Linked DNA regions of Coturnix japonica. The protein of the gene in region 2 purifies or fractionates together with the protein of the main gene of each other region. This does not show direct contact. Links are inferred from orthologs where the notes say so. Each region holds a gene or a part of one and is shown on either strand. Other genes may lie near its edges.

Evidence for each region.
Region 1: the proteins of SNAP25 (region 2) and STX12 purify together in Homo sapiens (co-immunoprecipitation; 3 studies listed by BioGRID and IntAct, with this or other methods). This does not show direct contact. The link is inferred for Coturnix japonica from reciprocal best matches to the Homo sapiens genes SNAP25 and STX12.

What each region holds. Positions count from the first base shown.
Region 1 is NC_029538.1:1,331,267-1,335,554, forward strand, and holds the start of STX12 (syntaxin-12), read left to right. Parts: upstream 1-1,251; 5' UTR 1,252-1,327; coding exon 1,328-1,439; intron 1,440-2,258; coding exon 2,259-2,328; intron 2,329-2,758; coding exon 2,759-2,858; intron 2,859-3,994; coding exon 3,995-4,132; intron 4,133-4,288. UniProt on the Homo sapiens protein: SNARE promoting fusion of transport vesicles with target membranes. Together with SNARE STX6, promotes movement of vesicles from endosomes to the cell membrane, and may therefore function in the endocytic recycling pathway.
Region 2 is NC_029518.1:11,889,246-11,893,806, reverse strand, and holds the start of SNAP25 (synaptosomal-associated protein 25), read left to right. Parts: upstream 1-1,663; 5' UTR 1,664-1,824; intron 1,825-4,561.

The DNA.
Region 1 (4,288 bases), on a different chromosome or scaffold from region 2:
GTAATTACACTTCGCTCTGTCTCCTCGTGGCACCACCTTGTGGCACTTTCCACCCAGGGACCCAAGCTGGCCAAAGGGATGTTCCATACCATAGGACATCATACAGAAGGGCACATGATAAAGTGTGGGGTGTTTGTTTCTACCCCACAGCACTACAGGAGGTGGTCCAGCCCCTGGTGGTGGTGGCCATTAGGAGCCTTATCACAGCGGCAAATCCTTCCTGATGAACCACCTGGCCAGCCTCAACCAGGGCTCCCTGTCCATTTTGGGAACCTGTGGGGGGCATTCTGGTGCAATTCTGATGGCAACAGCCACAAAAATGCCTGGATCTTCATGCTGGCACTGCTGCTCTCCAGCACCTGGTGTAACAAAGCCTGGGCATCATTGACCAGCAGGGGCAGGAGAAGCTGCAGTATCCCATAGGGGGTTGAATGGAACTGGGGGAACAGTGGTGAAACCATGAGATTTGTGGCAAAGGGGGGTTGGGTCAAAGCTGGGGGATTTGGGATGAAACAGGGTTATGGGGTGACACGGGACTCGGGGCAAAGCTGGAGGATTCAGAGCAAGACGGGGATTTGAGCAATGCAGTACTTGAGGTGGAGCTGTGGGATTTAGGACTTGACTTGGGATGATACTGGGGGATATGGGATAAAGCTGAAGGATTGGAGCAATGTGAGACTTGGGGCGAAGCCGTGGGATTTGGGTAATGCAGTACATTACAATACAGTAAAGCTGTAGGATTTAGAGCAATGTGGGACTTGAGTTGAAGCTGTGGGATCTGAGGTGGAAGGAGGGATTTGAGGCAATGCTAGATTTGGGGTGAAGCTGTGGGATTTGAGTAAAAGGGGATTTGGGGAACCTTGTATTTAAAGGTAACGCAGACTTGATGGGGTGACGGGGAATTTAGGGTGAAAATTTGGGATTTGGGAGATGTTGAATTTGGGGGCAGGATGCAGAACTGTGGGTGAAAGTGTGGGACAGTGCGAGACTTCACCTCAGTACCAAATGGAGTCTCACCCTGAGGCAACCCCAGTGCCACTTTTGGGGGCAGATTTTACTTTGGTGTGTAGCAATCCCACTCTGGGGTGAGTTTATAATGACAGCAGGACAGGGCTGGGTCAGATTAGGCCCATGTTCTGGTTCATGCGGCCTCCATCCCTTTCTAAGGCGGGCTCCCGTCATCATGGCAACCAAAGGCCTCGACCGCGCATGCGCAGGCCTCGTCCCCTCGCTTTAGGGCGGGCGCTCGGTCAGCAGCGGTGGCGCATGCGCAGAGAGCGGCGGGGTGCTGGCAGCCGGGCCCGGAGGAGCCGTCACTCAGCCGGTCATGTCGTACGGGCCGCTGGATCCATATCGGGCCGGAGCGACGGCCCCGCCGAGGGATTTTAGTGGAATCATACAAACATGCAGCGCCAACGTGCAGCGCATCGCTCAGTACAGTGAGTAGCGGCGGGCAGGGCCGCGGTGGGAGCTGCTGAGGGCCCGGGGTGAGGCGGGGCTCCATTGCTGCCTGTGACAGCGGAGGGATGGCTGGGGAAACAGCATCTGTGCTGCTGAGAGGAGTGAATGTCATAAAGCTTTCTCTCCTCCTCTCTTTTTCGCTTCCTCCTTTAATTAGTTCAGCTCCTCTTAGGATGCTATGGCCGGGTCTCATGCCCAGCAGCCGCCCTTTCCCGGTGTGCTGCCAATTGGAGGTGAAACAAGTGTCTTACAGCTTCAGTCAGGGTGGGTGGGAGCACACAGAGCAGCTGACTTACCATTACAGTCATTAACTGTACTGTGTGTTTGATAAAGGGCCTGAGGAGAAGAGAAACTGAAGCCTTGAGCACTTCCTTATTTCTCTTTCCCTATAGGGGAAAATCAGCTGCCTTTAGAACAGTGTTAAGTGGTTCTTCTTGGTCTTGCCTTGCTGCTTGAGGGAGCAGGAGAATTGCTAGGAGCCCACCAGGTGGACTTTTGTCCTACACGATGCTCCCAGCATCTCTTACTGACGTTAAAGAGCGTGAAGCTGCAGAATACAGCGAGTCAGCTGGCTCATCTGTTCAGACATTCCCTTCTGAGGCTGGGAAGGGGTGGTTACCTTGCAGGTATATTAACAGTTTAATGGGGATGTTGAAATGCAGAGTCTAAGTGTTGTGTTATCAGCTTGAGTTAAGCAAAATGTTGAGAGAGGTCCTTCACTGGAGAAGCTTTCTAGCTTAAAGTAGGGATAAAATACACTAGAACTCATATTAATCTTGTGGTCTCTTTGTCTTCAGCTGCTCAGATAAAGAATTTGATGAGCCAGCTGGGAACCAAGCAGGACTCCAGCAAACTGCAGGAAAACTTGTAAGTATGAATTGGATAAACACTGTTTAGGCTCTTTTATTTTCACCTTTATTCTTAGAAGGAGGGAGTTACTTTGGAGAGATGCTTTACTGCATAAACTTAATATAAACTTAATTGTATGTGAATGGCTTCCTGTGTTGTGATGCTAATGGAAGTGTTGCTTCAGTAGATCCTTTGCACCAGCAGCTTTGAATCACAACCTTGTTGGAAAACATAAGAGCTGGAAGACTGGGGAAGGCCTTGCATTTCCCAGAGCTGAATCTGTATCATTCTTCTCTGTGAAGTTTCATGGATCTGCAGGAATTCAGTATCTGAGTTCTTAAAGATGTTTGAGCTCAGAAACCTTACTTGGTCTTTATTGCAAAGATTGAAATGCTTGGGTTGCTTTTTGGAAGAAACCTGTGTAACTATTTCTGAACTATTGTTTTAGACAACAGCTACAGCACTCTGCAAACAGCTTGGCCAAAGCGACCAATGAGTATCTCAAAGAACTGGGATCTCTACCACTTCCTCTGTCTGCTTCTGAACAGGTATGCAGGTAGAATTTTCTAGAGCTTTCTTTAGTTGCTTACTTGATAAGCTGGCTTAGAGTGCAATTTCACGGAGCTTAAACTGGCACAGCTGAAGATACAGCAGCTTTCTGCAATGAAAGCAGTTGTTGAAGTGGGAAGACGAACTCAGTCAGCTACATCCTGACTGTATGATGCTGAGGGGGAATCATTTATCAGCAGCAGATAGCTCTAAAACTTTGGGGAAAGCTGAGTATGTAGTTCTATTTCTGAGAAAATAATCTTGTTTACAGAGCAATCTGGTGATGCGAGACCATGTTTTAGGATAAAAACTCAGTGCAAGCTGAATGTCAGTATGAATTGTAATTACATCAAAAAAACTTTTCCTTCCACGGGATTTATGGCCTGAACTGAAGGTGGGGGAGGGAAGGAGCTGACTCAGGTTACTCACATTTAAAGAAACCTGCTGAGGTGACTTTGTCTCTGGCAAAACAGTCTTTCAGGGCATCCCTTCCTGTGGGGAAGGGAAGGGATGGGCCTCTGCCTTTGGAGTCTTCTGTCTCCACTTTAAATCACTGCCACAATACTGATTTACCTGCTCCTGTGATACTGTTATGGGATGATCTGTGGATATGGGTCAGCAGATGTTGTCTTAGTAGATCCAATTCTCTATCTAAAGGTTTAAATACCAGTTGTAAATACGGCAGTGTTTCGTGTATTTGTTCAGAAAGTGTTTTTCAGTTAATCTCACTCTGGTAAGCAAAGTCCATGTTGCTGAATGTGGCAGTGACTTCTGTAAGTGAGTGAAGCTGAAGAATTTCTGTAGTGGAAAATCAACTGTAAGAATCAGCTGTAGTACTGACTGTCCTTGGGTCAAGTCTTTTTCTCAGCTACTTGTTTCCCATGTACTGGATGTCACAACCTTCAAAGGGGACATGCCAGGGAAACATGCACAGGGCAGTTCCACAGTAGGTAGAGCATAGAGCATTTGGTATAACATGAAAGTGTGATGGGCTTTTTTTTCTCCTGTTTCTACCCCAGAATGCTGGGAAGATCACTTACATGTTAGCATTTACTTTTCATTTTATGTTTTGGAGAGTCTGATGGTTACAGTAACACGAATGGTAATATCTGAACGTTTGTTTTTGTTTCTTTAGCGTCAACAGAGGCTTCAGAAAGAACGTTTAATGAATGATTTCTCTGCAGCCTTAAATAATTTCCAGGCAGTACAGAGGCAAGTGTCAGAGAAGGAAAAAGAGACTGTAGCAAGGGCAAGAGCTGGCTCCCGTATCTCTGTAAGTATTTGTAGGCATTCTGTTGTGATATGGTGGACTACAAATCATTTTGGAGATCTTGTCTTTGCCCACTGGCTTCATGGTTGTCTACTGATGCATTACTGATCACAAATGAGGCCTCAGTAGGTTGTTTTGCTGTTCCAGATGTTGTAATTA
Region 2 (4,561 bases):
TTTCTGCAGTGCATACCTAATTGGAGTGCTGGCTACTGTTAACCCATATATGAGTTGAGCAGAAAAGGTTTGCCTTTCCATACTGTCATTTATGATGCTAAATCCAGGTCCTGCTCAAGGTGCTGATCCAGATCCCTCACCTAGAAGGGGGGCTGTCTGCACAGCGTTGATCTCTCTCTACTTGTCTGCCTTTACAGCCCTTAAGTCTGACAGGTTCTCTCCTTCCCTGCGGTTTTTGTGTGCACAGCTCATCAGATACTCTACTGCAGCAGGAAGCCCCTCTTCCCTGAGAATTCCTTTGTTGTATATTTAGCAAACTTTTGACTGCTTCCTTCCAAACGAGACTGAAGGACATATTTTCGTAGGAGAGGGTGAGAATTGCAAAGCACGATCTACAATCACGTTTTTCTATGGGGAACTACAGAGCAGGGGAGGAGGAATCACCGCAGTTCTTTCTCCTTCCCCCCCCCCGCACCTCCCCTCCCCTTTCTCTCCTCCACCCCCATACAACCACAACATGAGACAAACGTGCTCCAAAATACAGCTGCAGAGCCTTCCCCCTCTTCCGGTCTTCCCTGCCATGGCAATAAGGGAAAAAAAGACATAATGATTAGGGTAGAATTATCACTAATATGAGACTGATGTTTTGACACCGTCATCTGCAGACTATTTAGAAAAGCCATTAGCACAGTGTCAGAGTTAAGCATAGCCAGTGCTCAGTGACTGCTCACAAGAGAGGCTCAGACGGAGGCACCTCTGCTCATGGGTAGGTCTGGATGGTTCCATACACGAACGTGCGCAGGCTTGTGGAATGAAAGGGAAGGGATAACTGAGGTTATGAAAGAGTGTCGCATTTCAGATGCAATCCCCATCCTTCATTAAAATCTCCGTTAAGAGATACCTTTTACAGAAAGATGTTTTGTAACAAATGAGAGGATTTCCTCTCCATTAAATATCACACTACAGACAGCTCCATTTGCTCCAAATTAGGTAAGCTCTGAATAAATATTTTAATTAATCCATGATAAATAAGCCAGGCTTTTTCCCAGAACAGAGTCACTGCTTTCCTCCTTGGCAGCAGCGGTCTGTTCTCTCTGTGCTGTATGTATGCACGTACATGCCTGGGTTTTTTGTGAGGGCTTTTTTTTTCCCCCCTTCTCTCTCCCTTTTCTAAACCTGTCTCTCAAATGATCGGTTATAGCACATGTCCTTATCTGTGGATTTCCTTGCGTTTGTGTGCTCTTATTTCAGGGGGGAGGAGAAGGGGAATAATCAGATTAACACACTCAGACCCGTGGCAGGATGCTCTGAAACATAAAAAGAGGGAGAGAAGGAAGAATTCACACATAAAAATAGAAGCCCACGTAGATTGGCCATATATGGAGTACCGGGGACTTCAGAGGGATACCCTCTTCGGACCACCCCTTTGGCGGAGGCATGTTGCTGCAGGAGGCCCCTTCCCCCCTCCCCGGGCGGTTCAGCCCCCGGCCCCCAGGCTCGGAGGAGGCCCGGCGGGGCCGTTTGTCGGCGGGGCGAGGAGATCGGAGCGGGAGGCGGCGGCGGCGGTGATGACTCAAGCCCGCCCGCCCGGCCCGCTCTGCCCCCCGCCCGCTCCCGCCTCCCCCATTCCCCCCCCCCCTCCGGGGAGGGCTATTAAAAGCTGCTGACGTAGGAGCGGACGGCCATCTTTGATGAGGGCACGGCTCTCGGTCCATTGAAGAAGGAGACCCGAGGAGGTCAGCAGCGGCTGTCCTTGCCTCCCAGCTGCGGCACCGAGACACCAACCCCGCCGAGGCGGCCCGGCGGAGCGCTGCACAAGCCGAGGTAAGGGCGGGAGACCACCGGGCCACCGACTGAGCAAGGGGAGGGGGCTGTATGAACGAAAATGAAGCGAAAAAAGGATTTGTTTAAAGGGGGACGCGCTCGGCGTTTTGTCTCCTGTCTCTGGGCTGCTACAGGGATGGAGGAAGTCGAGGAGAGGGGGGGTAATGCCGCCGCCAGCCTTATCGCCGGCTGGAACCATGGGAGGGAACCGAGCTCTGTGTTTCCGCTGTATCGGGCACGATCGAAGGCGGCAGGGAGCCCGAGGAGAAGGGCAAGCAGCGCATTTCTAACCTGTACTGGGAGCAGGGTGCTGCGGGGCTCTCTGCTCTGCTGGGTCGCGCAGGGCTGCAGCCGCCCAGGGCACTGCAGCGCCCTTCCCGCACCGCACCGCACCGCGCAGGGCTGCGGCGGCGCTTCGGCACCGCGGACGGAGGCCGGGGGGGAGGTCAGCAGGGAGTACTGCGGCTCTGCGGGAACGGGAGGCGGTTCAGCACCGCGGACAGCGTCCGTCAGCACAGCGGACAGCGTCCGTCTTCAGCACCGCGGACAGCGCCACGGCGCCCCGGGCTTGGAGCCGCGCTGCAGGCGGAGGCGGGTTCGCTGCAGCGCCCTGCGGCTCCGCACCCCCCCCGGGCAGCCAGCCCCGGGCAGCCTCTGCCCTGCCGCAAGGGAAGCGAGCCCATAGCTGAGCTGCTAGCTCCTTCCGGGACGGGACCTCAGGCTGAAACAGCTGGGGCTTTGCGGGGTTTCTCGGCAAGTCGAAGCGCAAAGTGGGAGAAATAATAATAATAATAATAATAAACAATAATAATTACAAGCTTCGGTTCTTGAAATTAAGCGGCTCTTCAGCCTGTCTCCCACCCGGCCGGTTGGTGGAAGGGCATTGGTGCAAGGGAAACGGGAGTTATGTAACACCTGGTCCGCGGGGTCTCTCCGGACCAGCGGCAGCCCCTAGGGCATCCCCGCAACCACAGAGGGTCGGCCCCGGGCATTCTGCAGCCTTGAGTCGGGGCAGCTCAGCTCCTCATGCAATGCAGGCAAACCCACCTCGCACTCCTGACCCTGGCATCCCTGTCCCTGGCGTTCCTCTTCCCCTGTCCTTCCTGCTCCCTGGCACCCCGCTTTCCTTCTCCACTTGGTACAGCTCACTGCTGGCAAAGTTGGTAACTTTGCTGTTTTCTGCAGGGCAAATAAACAAGAGGGGATGAGGGAAGTGGGTTGGGCGTCCAGACATTGCACTGCGTAGCTGCGTCAAATGAGGGCCATGGGATCTGCCAGATTTACGTGCTTGGCTTGAGTAATTGCTGCTGGTTTCATTCCCAGCTGAAAAGGGGGTGGGGGGGAGGAGGTGGGGATGGAGAGGCTGGTCTGTGGTGAAGCCTGGGGATGGCAGATCAACCCACCAAGCCATACGTGGTTACTGTCAGCCCCAGCTGCCGCATCCACAAGGACATGCCTGTCCCTCTCCTCCCTGCTCCATCCTAGCTCTGATCTCCATAGACCATGACAAGACAAGGCTGGTCTGGAGGCAGACACCTCTATGGGCTGCAGGGGAGGAAATGGGGCCATCTGGGTGATGAGAGCTCCAGGGGATACAGATGAAGAATCCTCCTCCCATATCCCTGCATGTCACTGAATCATGGTCAAAGATACCAGTCTAGGAAAAAGTGGCAGTGGTTTTCCATTGCTTCTGCATAGTGCATAAGGGGATGGCAAGGAGGTCACTTTGATTCCTAGGATGAGTGCCAAAGAGACAGCAGAAGTGACCAAAGCAAAGGTACAAGCAGGCCTGATTTGCAAAAGTGAGAGCTTGAGGCTCCCACTGAAGTCAGGAGGACTGGAAATAACCGAGCATGTTACGAAACAAAATGCAGCTAAACAGCAACCCCAAGTAAATGCAGTTTAACTATATTTATACAGCTAGCTAGGAAATGATAGTGAGATATCGGATTCTATGTCCACTGAACTCATGAGGGCAGAAAAATAAAGAACCCTTAAAGTACATCTAATGAAACACAGCTCCAGTTTGCAGATTTACTGCATTGGGGGTGGAAGCTGTATTTCAGGTCATCAGAAAGCTTTTCATTCATCTCTGTACAGGTTAGGCATGGCAACAGACAGTGAGATTAAACTGCTAAGGCAAATAAAGTGTAGTCTATATCTAATTCCTGCTCTGCTATAACCGAGCAAGGTAACTAATCAACATGCTTTCCTGTCTTATTATTAACTTAAGCAATTTTTAGGCTTTTGTGTCACAAGCCTATGTTGCAACAATTTGAGGTAAAATGGCAAGCATACAGCAGAACGGAGAACTCAGTCTCTTAATTCCTTCTCTCAGGAATGTAAAAAACCCTAGGAAGAAAGGAACTTGGTTTACCTTGGCTTGTTACACTACCATACTTGTTCATTTCATTTAATTTTTTCCTGATTTTTTTCCTCAATTTTTCATAACTAGAGTATAATCACAGCACTTTCATTATTAAAACACATGCACATTTATTTCAGACTTCTAGGGCTTAAGTCACTTAAAACTACAACAAATGTAAACTCACTTTATGGCCTTCACTGAAGTGAGTATGTTTTTCTTTATCTGAAGTTTCCTCTACTGCTAGAAATGCAGTCACCTTTGGGCTGGGTGAGTGCCAAGTAGTCTGTAACAGTATAATTGTTGAAGCTTTTTAGAGCATCTAACGCAGAGTAGAAAAATGTGTTTGAGAACAGCAGCAGGCTGCAGGTC